Linked DNA regions of Alligator mississippiensis. The protein of the gene in region 1 purifies or fractionates together with the protein of each later gene. This does not show direct contact. Links are inferred from orthologs where the notes say so. Each region holds a gene or a part of one and is shown on either strand. Other genes may lie near its edges. The genes, in order: DUSP4, MAPK8 and MAPK14.

Region 1 (10,273 bases):
ACAGTGTCTTCAAAACTAGATTAGAAGATCCACATTTTTTAGCTTTGGACTTCCCCACTTCCTGAATGGAAACCTGGAGGGGTGGTCATGGTGGGAATGCTTGGGAAACCTAAAATGAATTCATTAAAAGCACAAAGTTAACACATGTAAGTTAAGCGCGTTCATCTCCCCACCATACAGACACTTGGTGTGGCATCCCCATAGGTGTGGGTAATGCATTTTCACTTGTGTGCTAACTTCACACCTTTAGTCAGTTCATCCTAACTCCATGTAGATGAACCCTCATGTGCAATGTCACATCAGAACTACACAGAGGGCATAAGAAACATCTGGTGACAGTTGTATGATTTACCCAAGCAAACAGAGCCTTGGTACAATGACTAGTCATCGCACAGGGATTTGCAGCTCAGCATACTCTGCCCACTTTAAAAGACCCCATGAAATCTCAAGCAGCTACAGCATTGTTCTTCACCTTCTGCCCTAAGAGGCTCAGTAGTGTGCCTGGATTCCATCAGAGGGGCTGCTTTTCACCCCAGAAGTAGCTGCATCTGACAGCTGTGCCACCTGCCTGCTGTGTAATGCATGCTGCACATGAGCTATTTTGGCTGAAAGTGTTTTGAAGCATTTAAGCTGTGGCTATTCAGCTCCAGGACTGCTGGAAAATCAGTCAAGTGTGATAGCTCCTGCTAGTACTTGGGCAGGGAAACTGAACTTGTTGTATGAATTTATTATTGCATTCATACGCACAAGGTCAGTCACTGATGCACATAAACAGACAATTTACAGGCTTACGGTAGAGACAAGGAAATACATTGATCTCATCTAATTCACTGAAACATTGCTGAACACCATTTTCTGTAGTAATTTTGGTATAGCAGAGTGATACCTTTCACTTTCTAGGCTGTGTGGTTTAAACCAGGAACTGACAATTGACACGGGCACAACCCAGCTGTAAATCTAGGAGCTGAGCACACCCACTCACCCACCCACCTACACCTTTCTGTGAATTGCCTTGAGAGATTTATAGAAGCCAGTCATGCACAGTAATTGCCAGGTACAGAGAGAAACCTCCTTGTATTGTACCATTTTAATATAAAAACAAATGTAATTAGTGTTTAAAGTGTCCAAGATAAGTAACGTGTACCTCCATGTGATCCACATGACCTCATAGCATGCACTTAATGGGAGTTAACCTTTGGATTTGATACAAAGAGAAGCCAGTTTGCTCACTGACACCAAGTGTACCAATTCTTTCCTTGCCCAATAGCAGAATCTTGGCACTGGTCTTTATGCAAAGCTTCCATTGACTTTAGGGGGAGTTTGCCACCCTGCCAGGGGGCAATACATGCTCAAAAATCTGGTTTAAATTATGCTTGCATTCAGGCAGAATTTTTTTAATGATTCTGAAAGGAGACACCATGTTTTTAATGATTCTTTTTAGAGCTGAAGAATTAAGGATGTCCTTTATAAGGGATATCTAGGGAAACATATGATAGCTTTCTGGCACTTGGAGAGGGGTATCAGTATATCCTTTTTACCTCTGCACCTGCATTCATTCATTAGAGGTAGATATGTTTCCTCTTGGCTGCCTCCGCATGTGCAGCAAAATAATTTCCCATCATCGTGGCTGCTTAGTTTGTGATCAAAGACAATCTTTGGGGCATCCTGCACAATAGATCCAAAGCCTGAAATACCCTAGATCAGGCAAGCACGTGGCTACAGTTCATTCATGTGAGCGCTGATGGGGTAAGACAAAGGCAAACAAAGGCAAGGCTGACAAGAGTAGGAGTTAGGAGCTGTTTTGGCAGCAGCCAGAAAGCAGTGTTGGGAGGGAGCAGCAGCAAGGGAATGGAGGAGGGAACAGCAGACAGTTCCTACCCTATACCTGAGACTTGGATCTGCCTATAACAGACTTCCTATGCCTGAAGAAGAGTGACTGTGCCCAAAACTTTTCCCAACTATTCAGCTGATCTAATAAAAGATATCACATCTACTCAAAGAACCTTGCCTGCCTATAACATAAGGCACTTCTGGCCTGAACCCTCACTGCCCTCCAACAAGGGCTGTCAGGGGCATGATGGCCAGATGATTGTGAATTGCTGCCAAAGCAGATTGCAGACCTGGGGTACACTGGTGGAAGAGTTCTGAAAGCCACTTTAGTCAGGTAAGTAACACTGGAGTGCATGAGGGATCAGATCCCAGGCCCATGCCTGACCTTTCAAATGCTGCCCTCTTTGGGGAGGAATGTCTTTCTAAGACTTGCTTCAGGGCACACCGTATTTTTGCCTACCAGGTGCTGGAGCTGACACATGATGTCTGGAATGACAGCCATATAACATGGCTAGAAGCTGAAGTCAGGACTCCAGCTCTGTGTAGCCCACCAGCCAAGCCAGATACCTGAACAAAGCCTCTCCTGAATTGATAGGCCTTCTTCTGCCACTTCCCTTACACATGATGACTTGCCTCAACCAAAATACTTGTTGCCAGGGCCTCTTCTCTGCCTGTTCAAAGGCTGATAGTATGGCCTTCTCTAGACTCCAGCCAGGGCTCTTCTATCCCTGTTAACCTTGCTGTGAAGTAGGACTGTGGGAGAAAATTGAATTTAATGGGAAATATAGTGGTTTTGAAGCTTTTTCTTCATCCCCAAATCACAATAACATGTTGAACTTGGAAATCTGCAATGTAAAATTTGCAAAACATTGTTTTGGGGACCAATTGAGGCACTTTGTTTTGATGTTGACATGCGTGTGCTTTGATTTTTGGTGACCAAAACCCCATTTCTCAATGGAAAATGGAAAGGAATCATTTCAGTGTAATGTCAGGTACCTTTGGCATCACCAAAATCCTTTGTTTTTATTCTATAGACACAAAAGTTTGTTGAAAACAACATATTCCTACAAGAAGTTTCCATTTTGACTGTGTGTCAGTTTCTGATGGAAAAACCTTCAGTATGGGCACACTCCTCTAGTTACCAACTATAGAAATGATCCCTGAAAGTACAGCCTTTTGTATGGGTTTAGGTTGTAGCCGTGTTGGTCTAAGGATATAGGCAGACAAGGTTCCTTGGGTGAATTTGATCTCTTTTATTAGACCAACCCCAATGGTTCTATCAAATTCACCCAAGGAACCTTGTCAGCCTTTTGTATGGACATTCTCAGGCAGGTCTGTCCTGCAGAGCCCTGTTCAGGAGCCCCTTGTGAACCAACCTTGCATTGTGTGTCCAGTCAAAGATAAAAGGCCTGTGGGGAGGAGAGGAATGAACACGGAGGATGAAACAGAGAAGGGATGAGCTCTGGGGGCTCTGGTGAGTAACAGTTAGTATATCAAATAACAAAACAGGAAGCATTTGAATTACAGTATCTTAATTATATCCCTGGAGCCTGTTGAACCTAGCTACTCTATCAGATCCCTCCCCCCCCTGTATCCCAGCTAACCCCATGATTCACATTATCCACTGTCAGGCCTCTAACATGATTTGGCTTGATGTGTTTAAACAATTTACCAATATTCCTGTATGTCATGATCTCACCGTTACAAATTGGTCCCTTCCCAGGAAGCAGAAGCCTTGATAGCCAGGGAGCTGCTACTTACAGTAATGTATTCATTTCATACATTGAGAGGGAAAAGACAAGAGGCCTCTTCTTTCATTTTTTTAACAGCTTTAAAATCTCTCTCTGTTTTTTTTCCCCTTCTCCCGTGTTCATTTCTTTCCATCTCCCAAAAGATGTGAATTCAGAAGCAGGAATTGGTGCTGGGTTTGGAGGGGGAACTGGGGGCTGTGCCAGCGCTTCTTCTGGAAGTTCCTGGCTAGAGGGTCTTACCCCTCTTCTTCGAGTCAGACCAATCAGCATATTTGGGGTCAGGAAGGAATTTTATCCCATGGTCAGACTGGTATGGACTGTGGGGGGGTTTGTCCTCTTCTGTGGGGCAGGGGGTAGCCCTCTACCAGGGATCTCTTGAGCCTATATTGACAACATTTCATAGAAGCAAGACTTTGGCTGCTGTGGTTCCTCTGCTTTATGTGTGGCAGGTTAGAGTGTTAGGTCTGTGTTGCATCACAGTTGAGTTTAAATCAGTGTTTCTCAACCTGTGGGTCATGACGCAAAAGTGGGTTGCAAGAATATATGAAAAAGTCACGAACAAACTTTAAAAATGGATTCTCCTTTAAAGGACAAAAGCATGGGAAACAGTGGCTTTTCCCTTTCAGAGTTCCAGCCTGCCAGGGGCTGCTTGGGGCCCCAGTGCCCACACATACCCTCCAGCCCCACACACCTACTCCCTACCCTGCACACTGGGGGAAGGGGGGGGGGCTGGGACCTGGGGTTGGGGAGCAACTGGTCCTGACTGAGGGGCATTAGCTGGGCCAGGGGGCTGTTTCCTACTTAAATTATTTACCAGATCAGGACTGGCCATGGATGTTTACAAATGGATCCTGGTACGAAAAAGATTGAGAACGCCTGGGTTTAGATCATGGATTGTATAGGCAACCCCTGCTTAGTGCTCTTAATTGGTTCCTGAAAAACTGAGCATAAAAGCCAAAAGAATGTTAAGTGAAACAGAAAGTATTTGATAACACAAGATGGAGATCGCAAGTGCTTTTAATGACCCAAGATGGCAACTGTGAGAGTTATAACGAAACTCACTGAGTGCTAAGTGAAATCAGGTATTAATTTAAAATTAGCATTATAGTGAAAAAGCACTAAGCAAAACAGCATTAAGTAGGGGTTGCCTGTATAGCAGCGGTTCCCAAACTGACAGATTGTGTACCACCAATTTAAAATGATACAGCCTTAAGTACCACCAGCAAATTTTTGTCATATAATTTAAAAAAATTGTTAATGTGTACCACTGACAGGTTGCCTGAGTACCCCTGGTGGTACCTGTACCACAGGTTGGGAATTGCTGCTGTATGCCATGGTTTGGAGAGGTATGGCCCTGCCTCAGGCAAGGGGGTTGGACTAGATGAGCTTGTAATTCTATGATTCTGGAGCCTATGATTCTATGATCATGATTGTTGCTGTTTTTAATAAACAACAACAATCATTTGATTTTGCTGGGCACCCCTTTGTTTGAGGGCTGGAGCAAGGCCTGGCAGGGCCCCGGGGAAGCGGCTAGCCCAGCCCCCTTCCCCGGGCAGGATCATCTCTCCCAGAGCCTCGATGGACAAACACTCCTTTGTTGCGAACAGTCGCTTCCCCGCGGAAGGAACAGGGAAGGAAGTGGCTCGCTGCTGCCAGCAGCCAGGTCACGGGGGAGAGCTCGCAGGAGGTCTTTTCCCTGGGGCAACACGGGGCTCCTTCTGGCCGAAGGCCACGTCCCCTCACCCGGGGTCTCCCATGCACCGGCGAGGCGCAGCCGATGAAACCCCCCCTCCCCCTCCCCTGCGGGGGCGGGTCTCTGCATGTTCCAACGTTCGAAAATGGAACCCCGCGTGTTGCTCGTTCCAGACCCCGCGGGCCCGCGCCGCCTCTGCCCCCAGCCGCGGGCAAGGAAGCACGGCTCTGTCCGAGCCTGGGCAGCGGGGCAGGCCCCGATCTCTGCCACCGCCTTGATGACCAGCCCTGGCCGGGCACCATTGCGGGGGAACCACAGCGACTCTGAGATCTGGGGGGGAGGAAATCGTGTGTGTCGGGGGGGAAGGGATTGTGTGGGTGGGTGTGTGTGTGTGTGGGGGGGGGGAATGGGGCAGCTCTCGGCCCTGGGGTGTGAGCAGGAGGGGGCAGGGGCAGACCTGTCGGTGGGGTGTGCGTGAAGCAGGGTCATTGGGGCAGCTCCTTGCGGGTGGGCACGCAGCGCTTCCCCCCCGGCTCATGCCCAGGTTACGGCCAGTCAATGGCGGGGGGAGGGCCGGCGGATGGCCGCGGGCAGCGCTCCATTCACAAAGCGGCGACGCCGTGTTCCACTGCCCGGTTTTATGAATGGAGGCGGCGGGCGGGCCGCGCTCACAATGGGCCGCGGTGACGTCAGCGGCGGCGCGCTCCATTCAGCGCGGCCGGGGCGGGGCGGGGCGGGGCGCGAGTAAAGGGGCTCCCGCGGCGGCGGCGGCGGCTGCGGCGGCAGGAGCTGGGGCCGGATCAGCACCATGGTGGCCATGGGGGAGCTGCGCGAGCTGGAGAGCGGCGGGCTGCGGCGGCTGCTGGCGGGCCGCGAGGAGGGCCGCGTGCTGGTGCTGGACTGCCGGCCCTTCCTGGCGCACAGCGCAGGCCACGTCCTGGGCGCCCTCAACGTGCGCTGCAACACCATCGTGCGGCGCCGCGCCAAGGGCGCCGTGAGCCTGGAGCAGATCCTGCCGGCCGAGGCCGAGGTGCGCGCCCGCCTGCGCGCCGGCCTCTACTCCGCCGTGGTGCTGTACGACGAGCGCAGCTCCCGCGCCGACTGCCTGCGCGACGACGGCACCGTGTCCCTCGTGCTGCGGGCGCTGCGCCGCGACGCCGAGCGCGCCGATGTCTGCCTGCTCGCAGGTGGGCCGGGGCCGGGGCCGGGGCAGCCCCATGTGTGGAGGGGTCGCGGTCGCCCTCGGCCGTGGGTGTCAGCAGGAGGGGTCGGGGCAGGCGGGGGGGGGGGATCACTGGGGCAGACCCATGTCTGAGCAGCCCCTGTGTGGGGGGGAGTGAGTGGAAGGGGGGGGGCAGCCATGTGTGTGAGTCGGAGACTGGGGTGTGAGCAGGAAGGGATGGAGCAGTCCCATATGTGGGGTGTGAGTGAGTAGGGGGGTCACTGGGGCAGCCCCAGGCATTGGGGGGGGCAGTTAGACCAGCCCCATGGTGCTGGGGGGACAACCCTGGGCCATGGGATGTGAGCAGGAGGGGATGGGGTAGCCCCCTAGGTGTGGTGTGAGTGAGGGGGGAGGTCATTGGGACAATCCTAGGCAGGGGTGTGCAGAGCAGCTGTCAGGGCAGACTTCAGTCATGGGCATGAGTAGGAGGGGGCAGGGGCAGCCCCCCATGTGGGGTATGAGTGAATGGGGGGGGTCATTGGGGCAGCCCTGTATATGGGGTGTGAGGGGGAAAGGTCAGAACAGCCCCCATGCGTGGGGAGTGAGTGGGGGCCAGGGATCAAAGCAGTCTTGTGTAGAAGGTGTGAGGGGGGCAGGATCAGAGCAGCTCCCACGTATGTGCTGTGAGTGTGGGTTGGAGCAGCCCTGGTGTGGGGGAGGTGTGTGGAGGGGGAAGTAAGAGCAGCCTCTGCATGGGATGTGAGTGTGGGGAGGGATCAGGGCACAGGGAGATTGAGGGAGCCATGGGGTGCATGGGGGGGAGGGAATCAGACAGTCCTGTATATGGGGTGTAAGTATGGGAGGGGAAAATCAGGGCAGCCCCTGCATTGAGGGGTGGGGGGGAAATCGGAGCAGGCCCCATGCATATGGGGTGTGTGGAGGGATCAGGGCAGTCCTTGACCATGGGTGTGAGCAGGAGGGTTCAGGGAAGTACTGTGCGAGGGGGGTGGGATCAGGGAGGCCCTGTGCCTGGGGTGTGGAGGGAGCCCAAGCAGCCCCAGGGCCTGGAGGGTCTGGGTGCTGGCCCTGCTCCCCCCCCACGCCTCCTGCTTGCTCTGGAGTTGCCAGGCCAAACACTCCTTGCTCTGTTCCCTGCAGGCCAGCCCAGCTGCAAATCCAGGGGCAGGGGGTGGGATGGGGGTGGCTGTTCTTTCTCCTTCCCTCCCTGCCTCCATTCCCGCTTGGGGCACATTTGTCATTCCTCCACAGCCCCTGCTCTTTCAGCCCCCCTCTCGCCCCTCCCCAGGCCGGCAGGAGGCTCCCCACACAGTGTGGGGGACAGTGGCTAGTCACTTCCTGCCCCTTTGCCCAGTCAGCTGCTGGGGAAAGGCTGCTGGTGACCTGTGCCTGACCTGCCTGAGCTTGGTAGGGCTCAGCTGGCTTTGCGGCTGAGGCTTCTGCCCAAGGGACAAGAGATAGGAGCAAAAAAGGCCCCGTGAAAGGATAGCTGGTCTGATCTGGCTCCATACAAGGGGTGGTGGGGCCAGTGGGCTCCCCCAGCACTGGGGTGGGAGCTGCCATGTGTCTGTGAAGGAAACCCCTGTGGCCCCTTTTTTTTTTTGCTGCTTCAGCTCTCTGAGCCCTCCCAGGCTGGATTTTGACAGAGTGATGTGATGCTTTTGGTGCCCAAAAAAGCCTTCTCCACAGAGGAGGACTTTGCAAGTCTGGTTTTTTCTCCTTCCCCTTGTGCTCTGGGTAAAGCAATCAAACCACCCCCTTTTTTTGGAACATGGAGGCTGAGTTTGCTTTGTGTATGGTTATGTTCCCTCCCACCACATTAGTCTGAAGTCGAGTAGAAGGCAGAGTAGATGTGCACCTTATATGCTACCCAAGTAGATATAGATAACAGAAGCTTTTGTGAGCTGAAGCTCACTTCATGATGAAGTGAGCATCACCTCACAAAGAAGCTTATGCTGTCTGTATCTACCTTGGTTATTCTATAAGGTGCACATCTGCTCTGCCTTCTACTTGACTTCAGACTAACATGGTGAATTATGTGTCTCAACCTTCTGCAGGCCAGGAATGAGCTCTAGGGCAAGTCTGATGAGAAACCTGCACATTTTTGAATATTCACAGTAATTCAGAGGAAATGTCATGGTGCCTCTCTGCTGGTGTAGTGGGAGATGTGGCCAGGTCATGAATCTTCCTTCCCAGTCTCTCAAGTCTCTTTAATTGTTTCAGCCAAGACACTGCAAAACCTAGGCTTGGGGGTGCGGGGACGGGACACAAGGACAGCTTAAATCTTGAGAATTTAGGTAGGGAGCATCGGGAAAACTGAATGTGTTTTATCTGGTTTAAAGCTGGACAGATACCTGCAGGAAATGGCTTTGAAACCGCAGCAGCGGAACCAGCTGCCGTGATCCTTAATTTGATGCAGATAATTAAAATTAATTCCTTCCTCTCATCCAAGCTAAATACAGCGAGTTGTGCTGAAAGAAAATCAGCCGTTGTTCAGGTCAGAACACTGAAGGCAGATCATCAGTTACGTAGCAAAAAATGATTCTCGGTTGTGTAAGCATTCCCTTCCTCATAGTAGAGCAAAACCCTTTGAAACTGGTCTGCACCCCCTGATGACAATCTAGTGATTGTTGCCTTTTTAATGGCCTGCATCTGATGTTCGCTAATTTAAACCAAATTAAAATCGCAGTAATAGTGACAGCGAGAAGTTTCAAGCTCTGTAATGAGGTTTTCTTAAAATTCCCCTCAGTCTATTTTGGAAACATGCGTGCCCAATGGAATTGCACGGTTTTTTGTTTACAACCAGTGCGTTGTAATTTATTCATGGTTTTACTGACAATGGGGGATCGGGAGCGCACGCATGTAGTTAGATAGTGGTGAGTCCATTAATAGGTTTGATAAATGTTGTATTTGGCATTTATGTTGTGCTTGATACAGTAAAAACAGCAGGAGCTCCGATAAGGATTAATTAATTCTCAAACAGGGAGCCTTTTTCTCAATTGTTTTCTTGGCAGTGGCATCTAAAGGGACTGTGTTTTGTCTCTTGTTAATAAGTCATTCTGATGCTGATAAAGATGCATGCAAGCTAAGACTGCTTCTTTGTTTCAATGACATGACCGTCTACCTTTGCTTTTAATTGTAAAAGCCTTCATTGGCCTGACTTGACTTCTTCTCTTTGGTAATATCTTATTAAAACCTGCTCTTCAGTTCTACCTTCTCAAATTATATGTAAAGTCTCAATTCCTTTTACCAAAGGGAAAAAACAGTACAACCAAGGAAATTCACACAACATTTTAGGCACTGCATTCAAAGAGCTGAATTTGGCTAATGTCAGTGGGAACGGTGTCAATCCCCAAAATATGTATTATGTTAAATTCACTGTGTTTGTTTTTATTACATGTGAGCTGCTGTTGATAATGACTGTAATAATTTTTGTTTACATATTCCATGTGCATTATGGCAATGCGGAGCTTCAAAGCAATTAATTGGAGTACAAAAAGATCAAATGTCTTGCTAATCACATACAGCATGCCAATGGCTCAAGCAAGATTAAGACCTAGAAACATGCAGGTCCTCAGACCTGTGCTGTGTAGATCACACAGCCTGCCGGCATCTTAAAGCTGCAATAATAGCAAGTGAAACAGAATCACTTTATATTACTCCAATCCACCTTTGGAGTGCTGTAATATAAAGTGTATAGCGTTGTAATACACAGACTGCATGTTAAGAAAGGGTTATGGGAACTTCATTCAAGGATAAGAGAAGGTATTTGGACTGGAAGAGGATGTTAGTAGCTGGTAGCAAAACACGCAGTAGTAT
Region 2 (10,370 bases), on another chromosome or scaffold:
GCTGTTTGTTAAAAGATGGTGACAAACCATATCTCCTTCAAGTTATGATTGCAAAAGAGTGCATACAACCCAAACCCCTATAAATACAAATAGCAGCCAGTAGAAGATATGAATCTTGGACTGAGGATCTTTATGGCTTTACGAGTGCTTGTGGTGCTCGGGCCAGGTGCCAGATGATTGGAAGATAGCCAATGTGGTCCCCACCTTTAAAAAAGGGAGCAGGGAGGACCCGGGCAACTATAGGCCCATCAGTCTTACCTCAATCCTGGGGAAACTCTTTGAGAAGATCATCAAGGAGTACATCTGTGATGGGCCGGCGTGGGGGATGATGCTCAAGGGCAACCAGTACGGTTTCATTAGGGGCAGGTCATGTCAGACCAACCTGATTGCCTTTTACGATCAGGTCACAAAAGCATTGGATGCAGGTGTCGCCGTGGATGTAGTCTTTCTAGACTTCAGCAAGGCCTTTGACACTGTCAACCACCCCATCCTCATTAAAAAACTAGGCGACTGTGGCATCGATGCCTACACAGTCAGATGGATGGCAAATTGGCTGAAGGGTCGTACTCAGAGGGTGGTGGTGAACGGGTCGTATTCGACCTGGGGGGAAGGTGGCAGCAGAGTCCCCCGGGGCTCGGTCTTTGGGCCCGCACTGTTCAATTTCTTTATCAGCGACTTGGACGACGGGATGAAAAGCAACCTGTTCAAATTTGCTGATAATACCAAACTTTGGGGTGAGGTGGGCATGCTAGTAGGGAGGGAAAGACTGCAGAAAGACCTGCTTCACAGTTAGGGCAGCTAGGATCTGGAACCAACTTCCAAGGGAAGTGGTGCTGGCTCCTACCATGGGGGTCTTTAAGAAGCGGCTCGATGCCTACCTGACTGGGGTCAATTGAGCCCAGTTTTCCTCCTGCTCAGGCAGGGGGTCGGACTTGAAGATCTACAAGGTCCCTTCTGACCCTACTTCTGTGATTCTATGATCTGCTGGTTCTCTTGTACAGTAAAACAGGGAGGCTGATTAAGCTGAAAAGACCTTTCAGGGTTTGTAACCATCTTAAAGAGAATCAAATAGTTACCAGAGAAGATCATCAGTCATATATTTGTAGCCTGGGCGGTACTCCAAGATGTACCCCCTCTCCAATTGAAGGGATCAGAGCAGGTGCACGAGTGCTGTGGGAGTTATAGGGACCCTCCTTCCCCTATAGAGCAGAGCCAGATCTCCAATGGGTACTTAACCATATATTTTTTAATGGGAAAAACAGTAGTGGGATCATAACATGTATAAACCAGGGGGTACAGGGGGCACTACAATGCCCCAAGGGGGCGGGATTCAATAAAGGTTAGGCATTTACATTCATAGACATATTCATCAAGTTGACAAAAGACAGGTTTAACAAAGTATAAAACACAAACAGCACAACAAACAATACTGGTTGGTGAAATATAAAATGCACAAAATACAAAACATCAAATAACAAGAGACAGAGGGCATAGGTATCTGGAGGGGGGGAAGAGGGAAAACACAATGACCCCCTCCACTGTGACAAAAAATCTCACTTTCACTTCACTCATTCCAGCTGAGACACGAACTCAGATTTTCCACATGATAGGCAGAAACCATATCACACAGTCACCAGTACTAGAACTAATCCAAGCTGCTAGGGGTTTTGACCTTTCAGGAGCCCCTGTGTCATGTCAAGCTGCCCTGCCTCTGGCTGGAGGAGCTGGAAGCAGAGCTGGGAACCTCTCGGGCCACTGCTCAGCTTCTTGCTGGAGCTGGGGAACCTCTCCTGTTGGCTGCAGCCTCTTGTAGGGGGATCCTGGAGCCCAGCAGGGAGCCTTTCTTGCCAGCTGCATGCCGCACTGCTGAGGGTCCAACTGCTGCCTGCAGCTCCCACTCCTTCAGGTTCTTCTGGGGCAACTGCTCCCACCCCGCTGGCCCAGCTCTTGCCAGCTCTTTGAAACTCCTTCCTTGTGGTCCCTCACTAGTCTTCCCAAGTCAGCTGCACTGCCCCTTTTATCCCCCCCCAGGTGACCCGAGGGGCCAGTCAGGGGACATGGAGGGGGAGTCTCTGGGGCCTGATTGGTGAGGAAAGGGACTCCCAAGCTCTCCAATCATTTCTTACCCTTTCAAAACCCCTGGGCCAAATCACTACCAGCTAGGCTGTCACATATTGGTACCCAGACACCACTTGAGCAGAGAAAAATGTGGACCTGAGGGGGTGAGCCAGAGGGTTTGGAATTATGCTACCAGAAGTCAAAGTCCTAAAAAAACGGCATCAGCCTATTCTGTGGAATCTCAATCTGATCACATGAACAAAGGCACTGGTGACTTCAAGTTTCATTAGGATGGCACAGAGCAGGGGTGTTAAATATGTGGACCCTGGGCTGAATCTGACCTGCAGAGCTCCATAATCCAGCTCCCAGTGCTGCCCTGTTGACCTACATGCTGTACTGGACTTGCCCTGAGCCACATGCAGTGCTTGCTGGGACTGGGTCCCTGGCTACACCACTCACAGCACTCATTGGGGCTGGTTGCAGGGTGCACTGCAGGCAGCAGTCACATGGGCTGCCATCGCAGGCCACTCTGAGTGCCACACGTGCTGGATCAGACATGTGGGAGGGGGGATGGGGGTCTGTGGGCCTGATCCAGCCCAGGAACCAGCCCTGTTCCGCTAATCTAGCCCACACAGACAGATACATTTGATGACCCTGTCATAGAGGGTCAAATAGCCAATGTGTGGTACATTTGGTGATACTGCAATAACTTGTATGATGAGATAACTTTACTGAATTTAACAAAAGGAAATCTGGCCTTGTAGAGAAGTAACTACTCATCTCCAAGAAAGTTGTCAATCAAAGTTTTTGTCACAGACTTCTTTCTTTCCAGTTGATATGACTTGCAGCTGCTAAACAATATCCTAAGCTCTGATGTTCCTACAAGAAAGGCAATCAATGAAATGGCATAGAGAATGTTGGAAGACCAAAGAAAGAAATTAGCTGAGTCAAGTACTGACACCTAAAGACCTTGATACTTTTGTACGGAAGCAGGCACTGAAGATTAACAATGGTAACATATTGGATGCAAAAGAACTAGAAATCTTTAGTTCCAAAAAAACTCCAGACATCACAGTTAAGTGACAATATGCCAAATAACAGGCACTGAAATAATAAAAGCATCAAAGGTCAGAGGTGTCAAAGTAATTAAAGAAGGCTAGAAGCGGAGGAAAATTATTTGGGTGAATACTGAAGCACTGGCAGATACTATTTAGGGCAGGCCTCCGAAAATGTTATTTTGTTCTTTGAATGCAACTCAACAGAAAGGCAGAGTGGGAGTGGATTGAAAGTCTAAGCTGAATTCAGAAAAGGATACTTGTTTCAAAAGGAACTGGACAGGAAAACCAAAGAGCACCTGTAGTAAGGACTGTCTACCGCTGGCTTCAGTCCAGAAAGAACTGTCTGAAATGTTTCACAGGCAGGAATTAAACATAGGATGCAGGTCATACAGTGTCGCCAGATGCCTCATTCACATTGCAACTGGCCATCCTACAAGCACAAAAGTAAGGAAGGGGGAAAAGAGCAGCAGATAAACATACTGATCTTTTGTCAGGCTCTGGAGTAGTAGACATACACACTGACATGGATCTAGAATTTTGAAAAGGGCGGTGCAGATGGTGAGGTGCATTATTACATATAAAACAACACACATTTTTCTCCATTTAAGAAGGAACTAGAAGCTTTACTAATATGCTAGGGGCCTAGGGCTGTTTTACTCAGGTTAAGATGGAAGCAAAAACAAATATAATTTTGTTGGAATGAGTTAAAAACAATTTGCAGGTCTGTGAAATATGAGCCTCATTACCAGGAGCAGCTAGTTGACAGCAGAATTGCAGAACAGAGGATGATTGATGGAACATCCAGGCCATTAAAAAGAAGAGAAGGGCATTAATATCTGTGGCATGAAGAGTTTAGCAGGGATCAGGTAGGTTATAATGAGTCATAAAATCAAGTGAGTCCCTCAGCACTTCCTGACTCAAAATGCTGCTGTCACTGCCAGGCAGTTGGTTTTAACCTTTGGGTGGAATAGGAATTTGGAGTGCGGGGTTGTCTGTGTACCAGTGCACCTCTGCCTGGATCCACCCCTGCATACTGAACAGGAGCTATACCCTGACTAGTGATGAGAGAAAACCCTGGTCCCTGAAAGAACACAGGACTGGAAGGGGCCTTTCAAGCCCAGTCTGTTGCATTTGCAAGCAACCATTTACCCAAGGATTCTCTCAAATCTTTGCTTTAAACCCTCACACACAACTACAAGGCACAAGACTAAAGCCTGAAGCATGGGTGACTGGTGCCTCCTGAGTCGGGGGGGCACCCGCAGCCAATCGCCCGCCTGTGTCCCCCGGTGTGTTGCCTATGGTCCCAAGAGCACCATAGCACGCAGCTGGTAAAAGCAGAGAAGATGGGACTTTGCTACTGCCCTGCCAAAGCAATGAGGGAATGCATACACACACAAATCCCAGGAAGAGAATCCTTGAGAACAGAGGAGAGCAAAGCCCCATGCTACAGAGAAGAGCAAAGTCTGCACAGGTCTCCTCAGCCTGACCAAGGGGAAAACTTCATTCCCACTCAGATGTGGCAACCGGGATGGCCCTGAGCTAGGGTGGCCATTCGTCTGGTTTTGTAGAGGGCGGTCCAGTTTTCTGGTCCTCTGTCCTCGATATGAAACCGGATGCCTTTGTGTCCTCTATTCTTTCACCTCTCGGCACCCCCCCACCACCAACATGGTTGTGGCTGCCCGTGGGAGCTCCCCGCTCACTGTCACCACTGTGCACCCCCAGCCGTGCGAGGCATATGACTGTTCATGGTGGCGGGGACAAAATGCAGCTGTCCTCTGTTCTTGAGGTACCCCGACAGCCACCCTGCCCTGAGCAGCCAGCAACCCTTGTAGCAGGGCTCGAGCTTCCCAGATGGGCAGGAGCAGCCCTAGGTGTGGCTCTTTCCAGGCCGGGGAAACCTTCTTCCAGGGGGCAGCAGCTTTCCAGAGGGAAAACAGCCCTTCTGGTCCCTGCAGATGACCCGCAAGGCCTTGAGGCAGGCCCCGGGCTGCCACATCCCGATGCATAAAGTCCAGAGCGGGGGGAAGGGAGGGATTTATAAATGCGCATTTCACGCCTCTCTCTGCTTCGTTGCAGGCCTCCCTGTCCTGGGAGCGCCGCTCCCACCGAACAACCCCGCACAAAAGGCGGCCTGGGGCCACTGCCGGGGCCGGGGCCGGGGCCGGAGCCGGAGCCGCAGCAGGTCGCGGAGGCGTGTCCAGCCCCTGCCGGGCGGGGCCGTCGTGAGCGCTGCGGTCGCGGGGCGTGGGGGGCGGGGCCTGGGCCGCGGGGGCGGGGCGTGCCCGGCGCAGGGGGGCGGGGCGTGCGTGTGCGCCTGCGCGGCTCGTTAGTCGGCGGCGGCGGTGGGAGAGGTGAGTGCGGGCGCGCGGGCGGGTGGGCGTGGGCCGCGGCGGGTGGGGGGGACCCCCGGGCGGCGGCTCGGCCGCTTTGTTTATGTTTTGCTGTGGGGGGAGGGGCCGGAGCCGGCCCCGGCCCCGGCCCCGGCCCCCGTGAGGTGGGGGCGGGGCCGCCGGAGCCGGATCCCGAGCGCATCCCCGCGCGGGGGAGCGATGCGGGCGCGGGGCCCTTTGTTGTGGTGCCCGCTGCGGTGCGCGCCGAGGCCGGCGGCTGCAGCAGCCTGAAGCCGGTGACATCTGTAGTTCAGGCCGCGCCGTAGCTCTCGGTCGTGTCCCCCTCCCCCCCGCGATACCGGCGCGCTGAGAGCTGCGGCGGAGCTTGGCCGCCGTGTGGGGGCTTTGCATCTTCCTCTCGGTGACGCGCTGCAGCGTTTCCCTGCCGCCGGCTGCCCTGAGCATCTCCCCGCTCTCCGGCCTCTGATTTCACCGGTTCGGGGGGGGGTTCTGCTTTGGGGGTTCCGGGACCAGCTTCAAATGTGAACGCCGCTTGCCCCGTTTCTCTCTGACGGGGGGGCCGCGGGCGGGGTTACTTTGAGTGTTATATCCTAGAGAACATCCAGACCAGACTAGCACAGACGTTTCCCAGCCTGCCCCAAAAACATCTTCTAGCTTGGCCTGATCATGGGGTAACCAACCGTAGGTTATTTTATAAAGGAAAACGATTAATTGCCCTGGGAAAAGTGTCTGATCTGTGTTTTGCTACAGCCTGCTTTTTTGTAGAGGCATACAGATTACTAGTAGCAATAGGGCAAAAGATAGTTTCACTTTCACAGTGAAGTAAGTATGACATGGTGAGGCAGGTGTTTGGAAAGTGGCCTTTGCCTTGGTTTGTTTTGCATCCATCAGCTGGTATACCCTCCTTTCACTAATATGTTTTAAATGACTCCAAAGGTAGCCTGAAGGGAGGGAGGTCAAACTGCTGCTTAAGGTTGCCATCGAAGTGAATTTGTTGGCTGTTTCATGGATAAGTATATAGATGAAATAAATTGCGTACCTGTATGCTACAAAGTATGTAATAGCTACTGAACTGAAAGTGTTGCTGAAAGTGATTCATTTTAATTTCTTGAGGCAACCATTTTGATTTATTTGCAAGGGGATTCAGATAGGTGACACATTTCAAATTCCTGTCGGTCTAGGGCAGGAATCCTTGACCTTTTTAGTCAGGGCATCCCTCCAGAGCTACTGAGTATAGCAGCATGTCCAGCTGCGAACCTTTGTTGTGTTCATCTTGCCTCAGTTCCTAACCGGGTGCTGCTGCTGCCAAATAAAAGGGCCCTTTGCAGCTGCTGGGTAGCCAGACTGGGAAGGGCTGTGGCACATGCAGATGCTCCTCCTGCTTTCAGGTTCTCCATTAACACTAAAGCAGACAATAGAGGTGGTTCATGCTGCAGTTCTTCCCAGTCCGATTGGGTACAGCATCTCCTGGAAGTAGAGACCTGTGGAGAGATGGACCTGGCCTATGCGTCTCTTTCCAGGAGGAGCATGGGGGGCAGAAGTAGACTGGGAAGAGAGTTATCAGAGCGCCCTAAGGCAGGAAGAGTGCTTCTATTACAGCCTGGCATGCAAGGCAGTTTTACCAACTGCTGTGGCAGCAGAGACTGCATCACAGCACCCCTGAGGGGGTCTTGCAGCACTCTGGATAAGAACCACTATTCTAGCATGTAGGACGGGGTGGGCAAAATGCAGCCCGGGGGCCAGATGCAGCCCACCAGGCCCTTCTATTTGACCTGCAGGGCCCCTAAGAAACTTAGAAAATTAATATTTATCTGCCCCTGGCTGCCTATCATGATGGCGCCAAAACTCAGTAAGCGGCCCTCCGCCCAGAATAATTGCCCGCCCCTGATGTAGGACCACACAGCATTCCATGTGTGTTTGTTTTCTTTAAATAATGTCAAACACTTTTACTAGAAAGTAGCAATTTGATGAACCTATTGCCTGCATTATTTTTATTGTACCACTTTTTATGTTGGTGCCCACCCTAATTTAAACGTGGAAACAATGAGCAGGGTGAAGTGGCATGCATGGAGCATGTGTCTGTGGTGGTGGTTGGATTGTGAATGGAGCATAGGAGTATGTCACTTGGCAAAGGAGTTAGATATTCTAGGAAAAATATTTCATTCTGAAACAGAGATGTGTGGCGGAAAATTTTCCAGTGCTTTATTTTTCTGTGGGACATTTTCCATTTCTAAAAATTCATGATTTCATAAAATTCATTAGTAACAATGAATGGATGCCAATACCATATTAGGCAAGCTTGGCAGTTTCAAAGTTGTAATTAATGGTTTTTCAGGTGATTATCCCTAGGAAGTATGTGAGAGAGCGCACACATGTTTTATTGATTTGTAAACAGGAGGGTAAATACACTCACATAACAATCCAAATAAAAAATCAAGTTATAGATTCATGGATCTTAGGTTCGGAAGGGACCTCAGTAGGTCATTGAGTCTGACCCCCTGCCCTGGGCAGGAAAGAGTGCTGGGTTTAGATGACCCCAGCTAGGTGATTGTCCAGTCTCCTCTTGAAGACCCCCAAGGTAGGGGAGAGCACCATCTCCCTTGGAAGCCCATTCCAGATTCTGACAATCCTTACTGTGAAGATCTTTCTAATGTCCAACCCAAATCTGCTCTCTGTCAATTTGTGGCCATTGTTCCTAGTGACTCCAGGGGGTGCCCTAGTAAACAGAGCATCTCCTATTCCCTGCTGCCCTCCCCTGATGAATTTATAGGCAGCCACACAATCACCTCTCAACCTTCTCTTGCGAAGGCTGAAGAGATCTAAGTCCCTCAGTCTCTCCTCGTAGGTCCTTGCCTGCAGGCCTATAACCATACGAGTGGCCCTCCTCTGAACCCTCTCAAAATTCTCCGCATCCCTCTTAAAATGCCGCGCCCAAAACTGGGCACAGTACTGTACTCCAACTGTGCATGACCAGTGCCGCATAGAAGGGAAGCATCACTTCCCTGGACCTGTTCATCATGCATCTGCTAATGCATGATAAAGTGTGGTTAGCCTTGTTGATCGCTTTCATCACATTGACGCATGTTCATCTTGGAGTCGACTATGACTCCAAGATTCCTTTCTGCTGCTGAGGAGGTCATCCCCCAGCCTGTAAGTGTGTTGGTGGTTCATTTTGCCTGGACTTTGCGCTTGTCTTTGTTGAACTGCATCCTGTTTCATTCTGCCCACTTTTCCAGCCTGTCTAGATCTGCCTGGATCCGTTTCCTACACTCTGGTGTGTTAACTTTGCCCCATAATTTGGTATCAAATGGTATGAATTCACCTAAATGGCTGTGCAGGTCAAATCAAAACCAAAGCATGGCGTATTATGCACAGTTCTTTGGGTGTGCTAAAATTAATGTGTCAACAGTTTTCAGTGCCTTCATTCTTTTTCTTAAATTTAAACAAACAATATAAGGGATTACATGCTATTGTGTATTGTCTTTACATTTAAAAGAATATTCCAATAAAAATAATTTCTTTCCATATAAAGCTTTGAATTTGTTTGAATAGAACATTTAAACCACGTTATGTGTGCTGTATTTAATTTTTTTCCTAATCAAATATTTCAGTTCAAATACTTGTGGCTATTGGGACATAAAATTAACATGAAGGGGTACTTTTTTAGTTTTGTTGACTAAGTATAAGTCAAATAAACATGCTAAATCAGATCACGCTCTAGGGCATTGGAAAAATTTCCGGAACATTTTCCAATTCAAAATTTTCTGGAAAACCCACAGCTCTGTTCTGAAAATAATGAGATCTGATGAAACAGAATCTGTTTGATACAAGTTAATATACTCTGAAATGTTATAACTGATTCCAGTTCATCTGAAAACAATTTTGCAAGTGTCTTGTTTCACACATTGATTGTATGGGAGTCTGAATTTGTTTCTCTAGTGTTGTCATTGTGATGGTTCCCCAAATCCTGGATGTTTTGAGTTTGCTTTTTGGTAAATGTAATTTAATTTTGAAACTTCTGAAATGAATATCAGTTTCTTTGTGGGAAAAGAAGTAGACAGAGGTGAAAGATGCTGCCATTTCTTATGTGGTACAGCTACTACATGTACATATGTGCTCTTTTTTTTACTGACAAATACACTTTTTTTCTGCTTGTTAGCTGTTGCATAGGGTTCAGTGACCAGGACTCCCTTTTGGCTTATACATCAACACTGGAAGAATTGCTAATTAGATTTCTGTTTATAGAATCTTTATTGCCGATGGTGCAGGAGCCAGAAAGAGCCCAGTTTGACTTTCAGATCCTAAGTGAAATTTTCAGGGACAGAGTCTGAGGAGAAATATTTGACTAGCAAGCTAGTTGTGAACTGAAATATTGAGAGAGTGTGTCCATGTTAAACCCCACAGTGTGTTTCTTGATTCATACTCTGATTTATACTTTTAGGAGTATAAGGATAAGGGATTTTCTAGGGGAAAGTACTGCTCATCAGACTTTCTAACTTTAGGGAGCAGTAGTTTTGAGGCTATATAGAAATGCATGTGCAATTTATTTTGCAAATCAGTTGGGTAAACTTGCTATATAGGCCAGTTATTTTAACAGTTTAGTGATGTACAGTGTCTCCATCTCGTGGGATGTGTGTTACAAGTTTAAGAAAATATTCTCATACCTTACTGATAATATGGAATGTTTTCTTTAGTAGTTACTTGGCTATAGACACTGATGGTCAGTGGTCACTGATGTTTTGAGGTTTTTCTTAATAATAGGATAGGAGTATTGAGTTGTGCTTCCCACTTATTGTCCAACTTCAGCATACTTATGTTTGTTCTCTCATTCTCAATCTCACCATTGTTCCAGGTGGTTAAAAGATTTACAGGAAGAGCATGTTCAAACTTCAAGTCTGAATTG
Region 3 (10,449 bases), on another chromosome or scaffold:
TCAATAAAGCATATTGCCCACAAAAATCCTTGCCTCTTGCACATTTAATAACTGATAATTTAAGCACATGGAGTGGGCCGTGTGGTGCAAGTAAGTATGCTGGGTTGGTAACTGGGAATGAAATAGAGAAAAGAAAATAGAGGATGTTCATGAAATAGGGAAGTGAGAAAGAACCAGAAAAAGGAATATGAGGAAGCAAAAGAAACAAAGGGCAGAAATAATAATGTTACTAAAAGGAGGCAGATTTTGTCACTGAATGATGAATGCACCAATAAAAGACTGAACAAATAATGTTTAGTTACAACGTAAAAGCAATAATTTATCTTAATCTCTGTGAAAATCATCTACTGATGGCAGTAGGACCACATGCACCAAAATGTGAACTCCAGCTCACAGACCACATTTAACCCTCTCCACCAAATAGGTTTGAAACCATTGCTGCAGTAGTTTGTTCGCTGCCTTTCCCTTTTTGTTAAATATCCCAAGTGATGGTGCTTTTCACAAACCAACTGATTTTATTATTAAGGGTGTTCCTGAGTGAATGAAAAGCTGGAAAAGAAGTAGTGAATCAATTTGTGCTCTCATTTACATCAGTGTAACCCTAGATTACTTCCACTTACCTCGGTGAGATTACTGGGGATTTACTTCAATGTAACTGAGAGCTAAATCTCTCATAGTTTTGTATTAAAATTTGTATTAACAGTTTCTCAGATCTGAGCAGGCTGGAATGGGATAACATTTAGACAATTAAGTTCACTTAGGTGTCTTACAGGTGGAAAAGGATCGAGTCCTTTATTTTTGGTGAACTCTGAGACAGACTTCTGAGAAGTGATAAATGCATCTTTCAGATGACTTGGCGTCCACTTTTTTATGCGGACAGTGGTATTTAGGTGCAAAAGGAGCCCATCTAGTACACAACTACTGTTTCTTGTAGGTCAATTCACAGAGAGGTACCTGGTGCTATTTAAAAATAAATCAAACCTGACACTTACAGGCACCCCTGTTTTCTCTGATGAAGATGTAGTACATCCAAATAAAGCCAGAAATTAAGTGGACATGAACATAACTCAGGGACAGCTCAAGCTAGGTGCCAGCAGCATCAAACCAAATTAAAAGGGAAACTGATAAAGTGGCTCCCAAACTTTAACTGGTTATGCTTTCCCTGATGGAAGAACAGGGGACATTCTCTGTTAAAAAACGCTGCTATCTGGTGCACGCTGTTGGGAACTCACCATAGACGGATGGTTTATAACAGGAGAGACACCCTAATCCCAAGAGCCAATGTTCCAAAGAGAATTTGTGAGGGTTCAACTTTCCCATTCTTTTCAAAGAATAAAGGGCGGGCAAATGGGTTAGAAAGAGGGTATCAAAGATACAGCCCACAGACCAAATCCAGGCCACAGAGCTGTGTCACCAAGTCCGTGTGGCTCCTGGAGAAGCCTTGTGATCTTCTCCAGGAGCCACAGATGTAGGGTAAGTGGAGGCAAGGCCCACCATAAAAATATCAGGGTATGGAGCTCTGTTGGGGATGTGTTTCAGTAAGGGCTGCATTAACCTCCCAGCTCCCTAATCTGATACAGCACTGCTCACCCCACCACTGCTTGCCCACTGCTCGCCTTGCCACTGGAGCTGGGTTCAAATCCGACCCAGAAGATTTCTTGCTGGCTGGTTCTAGCCCGAGAGGAGCCCTGCTGTCAGGATGTGGCCTGGGGGCCAAGCACGTCTGACAGTCACTCCTGGGTGAGAGCAATTTTTGTCAGTCCTGCAGGAAAGCCAGCCAGCCTCTCGGTCCTACGAAGAGGGAACCGAAAATGGTATCTGGAGAATTTAAGCAACCAAAATAGCAAAATCTACAAAGCGGAAAAGCAGACGTAACCTTGTATCTAGCAACTTGGGTGGCGGGAAGCCCTGAAACAATTGGCACGGTTCCTCCTCATCACGCACAAAACCTTGGGCTGATGACAAGTCTGAGACAGACGTTCATAATGGACAGAGACCGGCGTGGACTGTCGGCTGTAGCGCTGTGCTGAGCTTCGCCTCCCACTCCCCAGGCATGGAGCTCTGTAGCGACTATTTGATTTCAGCTGTTATTACAAACTTCTGGTTTTGCATTGACAAGTAGCAGCAGAAGGACAGCACCTGACAGAGCCCCTCAGCTTTTTCACAGATTTCCAGAAAACAACTCACCTGCATTGGACCTTCCTTCGTTGGACTTGAAAGATTTTGAAATCCCTGTTCTTGGGCAGGGGCTCGTGTCTTTCGTAGGTTCTCTCAAAGTGGTCTTCAGTGCGCAGACCCCGATTGATGTGGTAGCTCCTTGATTGCCTGTGCGGACCGAAGGGATGACTGTCTGGCTCCATCCGGTCTCGGACGTCCGAAGGCACGGGAACCCCGAATGCCGGCAAGCAAAATGAAAGCTCTCGTCTGCGATGCTAAAGAGAGGAAAGAGGGTCACGGACCTGAAATGACTCTTCAGATAGTTACACCGACTGAACCGACCGGGCGCCAGGGTCGGTAATCGACGCCCGGGGCCGCCCCACACAATCCGCAGAGTTAAATTAGGCTCTGGCAGCTGGAAATCCTCTATCTGCTAAGTGCAAGCAGCAACCCCGATGCGGCCTGCGGCACCGCCTGGTCACGTCGGGGCGGGATGCGATCCTGCTAGCCCTGCGTTGATCTCTAGGGCCTGCGAGAGCAGTGCCCCAGCCATGCCGCTGAGCCTCTCGCTCTCCTTCCCATCCCGTGAGCCCCTCCTTCCCATGGCTTTCTCCGCCTCCTTTTTTTCCTCCCTCTTTCCTCCAGGCCTCCCTCTGCCCCTCGCCCCTCAGCCGCTGGGGCCGTCCCAGGCAGGCTGCCCACCCTGCCCACGGCAGCGCAATGGCAGGCGCTGGCACGGCCGTCCCCTCAAAGCCGTGGCTCGGCCAACTGCCAGCCCGGGGGGAGGGGTGGAGGATCTTTCTGGAAGGCTCCCACCCCAGGAGGGCGCCGGGTCGGGTCCCCCTCTTGGAGGAAACTGCGGCTGATCCACCCCCGAGGGAGGGCGTCTGACTCCCCCCCCTTCCACTTCTGCCCCAGGTGGGACAAGAGCCGAGTCCCAGGTCTACCCGCTCTCCTCGACGGGCGTGCAACGCGAGGGACGGCTCCCAAGAGCCTGGAGAGGCATTGCCAAGGATCCTGCGCGGCAAACGGGAAGGTCGCGGCGCAGACGCCAGCTTCCTGGCTCCAGCCAGCGTTGCCAGCACGGCGTGAAAGCAACTTCGCCGGACTGGAAGTTGCGCACGGGTGTCCCACCCCCAAAACAAGCGCTCTGCTCCCAGCTTGAGCTCTCATGGCAGCCAGAGGAAATGTTTTGAGGACACGTTCAAGAACATGGAGGCCCACATCAAGAGCTGGGAGCTGGCTGCTAAGTGACCCCAAAGGTGCTGCAACCTCAACCAAGCGGCAGCCCGCTCGAGGTAAAGCGTCTGCCCGTCTAAGCAGAGAAGAGAGAGCGGAGACAGGAGAAGGAGAGGAGCCCCAACCTACAGCCGATTCCCCCTGAAGAAAGATCTGCAACATCGGCGGATGGGTCCCGTGGCTCCATGATTGGACTCTTAAGTCACCTGAAGACCCAGTGATGAGGCATGGTAGAGATCGGCCTCGAATCAAGGGATTGCTGCTGCTGACCATTTGAACTGCGCGGGGTAGTTAGACTTGGCTTGCGCGCACATTGCAAGTGGCAGGACAGGCGAGATCCAACCTCCTCCCTACTTATAACTTCTCAGGGGAGCAGACTTCAGTCCCACAAAGCCAAACTCTAACACCAGGGATGTGGCTTGGGTGGGATCACGATCAAATTGCGCTGGATGGGGCAAATACCACACAAATATCACTATTCCTGTCTCAGGGAGAAGCGGAGGCTTGACCTCACGCCTCAGGTGAAGTATAGCACGGTCCACGGTCCTAAATTCAAACCCCACTAAACACTGGTTATTTGTTGGTTGACCATTGCTCATCTCTTTACTTTCTTCTTCTTATTTTAATTCAGGCTCAACTTCAGCACTGCTTATTAGGACATGCTTTACTTGAAGTGCTGATTTAAAGCCAGTTGGTTTAATCTAATTACCTGAAACACATGCTTCAAGTTAAGTATATCCACATCTGCTTTGGCAGCATGCCTCGTGCAATGCGGACAAACACAGATATTCCACTTCCCTAAAATATTAATAGTGCAGAAGGTGCATGCAATGGGGGCCCAGGCCCAGGACACACTGGGAAATCCACCTGGGGGACAACTGTCATTGCAGGTCTTTCAGATGGACACTAGAGGCCAAATCGGCATTAAAAGGAAGGACATGGTCACACCAAACTGGGACTCGGGCTCTCCTAAATCTGCTTCTGTGCAAATGCGTCAGGTATCCAGTTGGTAGCTGTATTGGTCTAGAGGAAAAAGCAATCAGGGTCCGTGGACAGAAGTGATGTCTTTTATTAAGATTTTTTTTGCAAAGATCTTGTTGGTTTAATTGCAAGCTTTCAGGCACAAACACCCTTTATCAGGCATCAGAGAAACACCTTTCATACAGGCCTAAACCTGGATACCGGACGCATGGAATATGTTGAATTTTAGCTGATTTTTTAAATGAAATCTTCATATTTTCCCAAGCTGGAAGCAACTGCAACCGCCTGAAACGTGAGACCCTGCTCCTGCCTTTGTTTCAAGGTAATTCGCATCATCACAGATCCTCACAGGAGACCTGTCCTTAACAGCTATGAACCACTGCCCTGAGTTTTCCATCTATTGACCCCTCCATAAAATCCTGTGAAATACGAACTTTCATTTCTACCCGGGAGAACTTTTCCAATCTTTTCTCTGATGCCTGATGTGGGTTTGTGCCTGAAAGTTTGCAATGAAAGAACTTGCAATTAAAGTTTGCAATGAAAGTCTGCAATTAAAGATTTTTTTTTCCTTTTTTTGCAAAAAAAATCTTCTTGGTCCAATGAGAGATCGCTTCTGTCCCCTGGCCGTGACGGCTCCGTGCAAAAGCCTCAGCGAAGGTTATTCCCGCTCGGGGTTTCTTTAGCTGATTTTGCTCCTGCAACCACACGCGCCGCGGCGCCCCCCCCCCGCCCAGCTCTCGCGAGACCGCCCCCGCGCTGGTTCCATATTGGGTCATCCCCGTCCCCGCTGCCACAACTCTCGCGAGACCCACTGGAGTCTCGGCCGGGCTGTGCCACTGGCGGAGCGGGAGGGGGGCGGGGGGTGGGTGGTTACGTTGCTCCGCGGTTGCCGTCAGCGCCTGCAGCCGCCTCTACCTGCTCGAGGAGCCCCCTGCCCCCGCCTCCTGCGGCCCCCCCGCCCCGCGCGCGAGGGAGGAGCCCCCCCGCCGGCTCGGGAGGGGACGGGAGGGGGGGCCGCGCGCGGGACCCCCCCCGCCCGGCCCGGCCCGGCGCCGCCGCCGCCGCGATGTCTCAGGAGCGGCCCAAGTTCTACCGGCAGGAGCTGAACAAGACGGTGTGGGAGGTGCCCGAGCGCTACCAGAACCTGTCGCCGGTGGGCTCCGGCGCCTACGGCTCCGTGTGGTGAGTGCCCGCCAAGCTAAGCAGGGTCGGGCCCGGTGCGCGCTTGGATGGGGGACCGCGGTGGCCCAAAGGCCTCGGGCTGCGGGGACAAGGGGAGTTTGGTGCCTGAAGCATTGGGGCTGCAGAGGTCATTTAGATGCAGATCAGATCACGCCTATGCAAACTGTCCCGTGCGCTCTTCAATCCCGACAGCGTGTCCTGCTGCTGTGAAATGATGTCAGCGTGCATTTCAAACCCGGTGGTTTGAACAGCTGGGGTCAGGTAGCAGCAGAGCCTTTTAGGTGTAGAAATATTGGTAACACTGTAATGGGTTTCTCGGTGCCTGCAGTGCTCCAGCACCTGATGGGCCGGTGGGTGCAGCCAGGACGCACCTGTCACTGCATTCATGCAAAATACTCATGGTAGAAGTCAGGCTGGAGACCTCCAGAGGACTTGTCTAGTCTAACCCGCCCTGCCTGAGGCAGGGTTGTTCCTATCCAAAGCGTCCTGTGCGCCAAATCATCTTAAATACGCAACCCATGATCAGTTAATGCCAGAGCCATAGTCCCCAAATGCAAATAGAAATGATTTTCTTTTGCTGGGGTTACACGACCCCAGCAGTCTTTCCTGCCCAGATCAAGGGGCTGGACCTGATGATCGCATGATGTCCCTTCCAGCCCTAAACTTCTGTGAATCTTTACACGTTGTAGCTTTAAAAAAAAAAAAAAAAAAGCTGTCTGTTGGTTCTGTTTTTTTTGACAGCAACGTGTTCATTTGAATGATAAAACTGTCTGCAAGTTCCATTCAAATAACACCTATTTCCTAAAACTGCTGTGTCACAAGGAGATGAGTATTTGTCCCCTGCCGTGTATAAAGGAGTTAGTAGTTTGAATAACTGAATGTGCTCTTGGAACTGTTATCGTTGAAAAGCTGAGTTTAGTTGCAGCAGACCAGAGGCCTGACCTCCCTAGTTCATGAGTCCTCCTGAGGTGCTGAATGTGCTCAACCCTCTTGGATTATAATGGGGGGAAAATGAGCATGCTTCCTGACCGTCTGACTTTATTTTTAAGAACAACCCTTTCAAAATCCCTCCTCCTGTTCCAGATTGTGTTTTCCAGACTCTAAGTATTGCTTCCAAATGCTTCTTTCCACTGCTAACAACGTAAGGATTTGCATCATGAATTTCCTGTTTTGCAGTGTCAAAGCTTTCAAAGATTGTGCAACTGCCTTTCAGTAGCAGAAGAACCTATTTTTTATTGAAAGCAGTTTCAAACAGACTGGAGTCTAGTAGACATATCTACTGTGTCTTTCTGTATGTCTTATAGTAATTTTTTTCCTATAGAAAAGGGAGAAAATAGGTCTGTCCCCGCTGCTTTTTGCTGTACTTGGTTTGAATAGTGTAGTTTATCTTATAAAATTTGATGGCACTTTGCTACTAATCAAAGTTCATGTCTGTTTCTACAGACTTGCTCCTTCTTGGCTCATTTTCTTTTCCAATCTGTCATCACTACGAAGTATGTTGTATTTAAGATATAATTGGAACAGATTAAGGTTACAACAGCAAAGCCAGGAGATTCTCCTGCAGTGTTAAATTGAGGTAGTGAAATAAGCAGAATATACTAAGATATATCACTATAGGGGTATGTACCAGGGAGGATGTGAATGGGTGGGTGGGAGCTGGGGGTAGAGGGAGTTTAAACAGGAGGAATATTAAGTCTCATAGAGAGAAGACTTTTTCAAACATAAATAATTGCATCAGCAAATCATGAAGACCATATTTTCCAAAGTATAACATCATTTATTTAGGAGATGGTGCAGGTAGACATCTCAGTTGTTTTTAGGAGACAGCTTTAATTTAAGAAATGGAAATTAAGATGCAGAGATACGGGGTGGAGGCTCAAACTTTTAGGAACTGAGAAACTGATGTAGACAGAAATGTTTCTTACACTCAGCAAATAATCATTTGCTGTTGTATCTGTTGGATGGAATACATATTTCATTTGATCGTACAACAGTTTCAATATTCTTGACACAACCCTGTGGTTTAGTCTACACGAATTCATTCTGGGGTTGCTGAAGTACCTCTCTCATAAAGCCCTGACAGTTTGGAAGAGGGGATTTTGAATAACTTCCTGCAAGGTTGTAAAATGGAATTGATGCTGCTACAACACTAGTAATTTCCCTCCCATGTGGGGGAGAACTAATTGTAGATAGCATGGTTTCAATTAGTTCCAAGCTAAGAAAAGTGTGTTATAGATGTTTCAGCACTTTGAAACGGTCAGTACTCAAAACGGGTTTTGCACTAGATGGGCATAGTGTTGCACAGGCATTATGAATGCAAGGCTTTACAAGCAGTGTCTTTTTCTTGTAGTCGGCTTTTGCCCAAAGTTTTTGGGAACTTCACAGTCAAATATGTTTTAATTTGTTCTAGAATATGTCTAAAGCTTCATTCAGTTTCAGGAGGAATTTAAGCAGATGCACAAGAATCTTGTAACATGGCTCGTATATAGCATATATATCCAGATACACACAGTACAGTATTCACAGTAGTTTAGGGCTGGAAGGGACCTCATGAGATCATTGGGTCCAGCCCCCCTGCTCTGGGCAGGAAAGACTGCTGGGGTCAAGTAACCCCAGCAAGGTGTGCATCCAGTCTCCTCTTGAAGATCTCCAGGGTAGGTGCCTGCACCACACCTGCTGGGAGTCTGTTCCAGATCTTTATCTGGATCCAGATATGTTTCTGTTATGAGTGGAAGACTAAAGCGTCAGAACTAGATTTGTTTCTCAGTTACTAATCATACAGATAGTTTAGTTTCCTTTGAATTTGTAGTAGTTTCCCTTTTTTAAGTTAAGGAACTTTAAGTGCTTAAGACTAAGGGGAAATGTAGTGAAAAGCCTTAAATGTCCCATTCCAAATACTTCAAAATAATAATGATTTTTGCAGGCTTTTGAGTTAGCATTTGTCTTCACCTTCCCAAATCCATCAGCATAGCAGAAGTGCTCCTGTGTACATGTGTGGGAGGCAGGGGAGAACTACTAGCAATACAAGAAAACTGCCGTCCCAACTCATAGATGAAATAATCTGATTTGATCATAGCAGTTCCAAACTGCCCTGGTAGTCTGTATGTGGCTTGCTCACACTGGGCATCTTCTTTTCATTTAAAAGGGTGTATGGGGACTGACTGGTGAGAAATTTTCAGGCTTGACAGTGGTCCGTTGTTCCAAAACGTTTGGGAAATACAGGTTTATAGGACTTCTGGTTTGCTTGTGAATGTGGGTGTGATTTACATCTGCAGTACTGAATGAGAGAAAAGGAGTCTGAATGCTGTATTCAGTGCTGGAAGTAGTGAGGATCCTGTTCATCTTTATCCTCTTGTAAGAGGAGATTCCAAAGGCCACCGGCAGTTCTTGTTATGGTTTTATCTCACGCGTTCATGAGTTTCATTGTCCCAGATGCATGTAGTTGTGAACTGGATGCCATGTGGAGGAAGATGACCTGAGGTAACAAGAGTAAGTTCCATGAAATGCTTCCTTTTGGCTGTGTAGGTTGTAGCTGTGTTGGTCTAAGGATACAGGCAGACAAGGTTCTTTGGGTGAATCTGATATTTTTTATTAGACCAACTTAAATAGTTGGGGAAACAAATTGCTTAATATGGTTTTTCCAACTATTTAAGTTGGTCTAATAAAAGATATCAGGTTCACCCAAAGAACCTTGTCTCTTTTTGGCTGTGACAGAGATCTTGTCTTTATATTCCATCAGGAGCCAGTGTACAGAGGAAAATACCAGGATGCTGTGTGCATCTTCTTTTAACTAAAATTGTAGGATTTTAGTGCGTTTTGTTGAGTTAACTCAAGAGAAAACAAGCAATTATCTGACTACCTCATTAAGGATGCTTGAGGTGTTCTCTAGTCTTCACAGCTCCAAAATAAGGTGAGTCATCGTGATCCAAAACAGACTCATACAAATTAGTCATAAATCTTTACTAAGTTTCATCCATTTCAAGAGGCAAAGATGGCATACAACACAGTGTAATAAGTCTCTCTCATGTTAAAAAAAGGGGATCCTCTGTGTATTACTCAGTTTTCTCAATTGCCATCTCTGTCTGATGAAGTGAACTCAAGATCATGAAAGCTTGCGTGCTCTATCTCATTTAGTTAGTCTACAAGCTGCATACCTATCCTGCCTTCTATCCCACTTTTGGCAAATAAAGTTTTGCTTTGTTGTGACTGGGTTCTCTTAAATTACCCCTCTTCTGGTATCTGTAAGATATTCCACTTTAAAGAAGGTAGGGGCTTACGGCAGCTGCTCTGCCATAACTGCTTTGTGTATTTTGCTCCTGTCCCATGAAAATTAGAAGCTATTTTGTGCTAACTGTGCTTTATTGTATTCTTGACCTATGCCTCCCTTTAACATGAACTTATTGGTTTGTGTGTCCAGACTCTTACAATTTTTCAGGACCTTGCCATTGTCTTCAAATTTGATAGACTCCGCATCCTCACTTTTGTTTGAAATGAATTCTGGGCTAAATTAGAAGAAGACATAAAACATGTTTAATTGTTAAAGTCTAGTTGAAAGAAATGAGTTTATAGCTAGCTTTTGCAGAAGAGTGAAGTTGCTTGCTTCGCTGGTGAAGGGTGTTTCAAGTATGGGGAATGGTATGAAAACAGCTGTGAAATAGTGAGTGGGAGGAAGAGGTTATGAAAAATTTAGAGAGTCAGGTAGTATTAGCAGAAACTATGTGAGCAGGGGCAGAGTAGGAGACCAAATTCTATATTAGGAAGCATGAGGCAGAGCCTTGAAAGTGAGAGCAAAGAATTTGAACAATTAATTTTCAGAAGTGCATTTAAGAGTGTACATCTCATTGTATGGTATTTCAGGCTGTAAGATATAGGCAGGGCAGGGAGACTTGT

The links.
Region 2: the proteins of DUSP4 (region 1) and MAPK8 purify together in Homo sapiens (affinity purification with western blotting; 3 studies listed by BioGRID and IntAct, with this or other methods). This does not show direct contact. The link is inferred for Alligator mississippiensis from reciprocal best matches to the Homo sapiens genes DUSP4 and MAPK8.
Region 3: the proteins of DUSP4 (region 1) and MAPK14 purify together in Homo sapiens (affinity purification with mass spectrometry; 3 studies listed by BioGRID and IntAct, with this or other methods). This does not show direct contact. The link is inferred for Alligator mississippiensis from reciprocal best matches to the Homo sapiens genes DUSP4 and MAPK14.

Annotation. Positions count from the first base shown.
Region 1 is NC_081825.1:141,286,356-141,296,628, forward strand, and holds the start of DUSP4 (dual specificity protein phosphatase 4), read left to right. Parts: upstream 1-6,036; 5' UTR 6,037-6,082; coding exon 6,083-6,461; intron 6,462-10,273. UniProt on the Homo sapiens protein: Regulates mitogenic signal transduction by dephosphorylating both Thr and Tyr residues on MAP kinases ERK1 and ERK2.
Region 2 is NC_081829.1:21,153,806-21,164,175, forward strand, and holds the start of MAPK8 (mitogen-activated protein kinase 8), read left to right. Parts: upstream 1-5,410; 5' UTR 5,411-5,467; intron 5,468-10,370. UniProt on the Homo sapiens protein: Serine/threonine-protein kinase involved in various processes such as cell proliferation, differentiation, migration, transformation and programmed cell death.
Region 3 is NC_081837.1:36,162,805-36,173,253, reverse strand, and holds the start of MAPK14 (mitogen-activated protein kinase 14), read left to right. Parts: upstream 1-5,227; 5' UTR 5,228-5,443; coding exon 5,444-5,559; intron 5,560-10,449. Other genes in the region: SLC26A8 (testis anion transporter 1), read right to left, coding at 2,188-2,360. UniProt on the Homo sapiens protein: Serine/threonine kinase which acts as an essential component of the MAP kinase signal transduction pathway.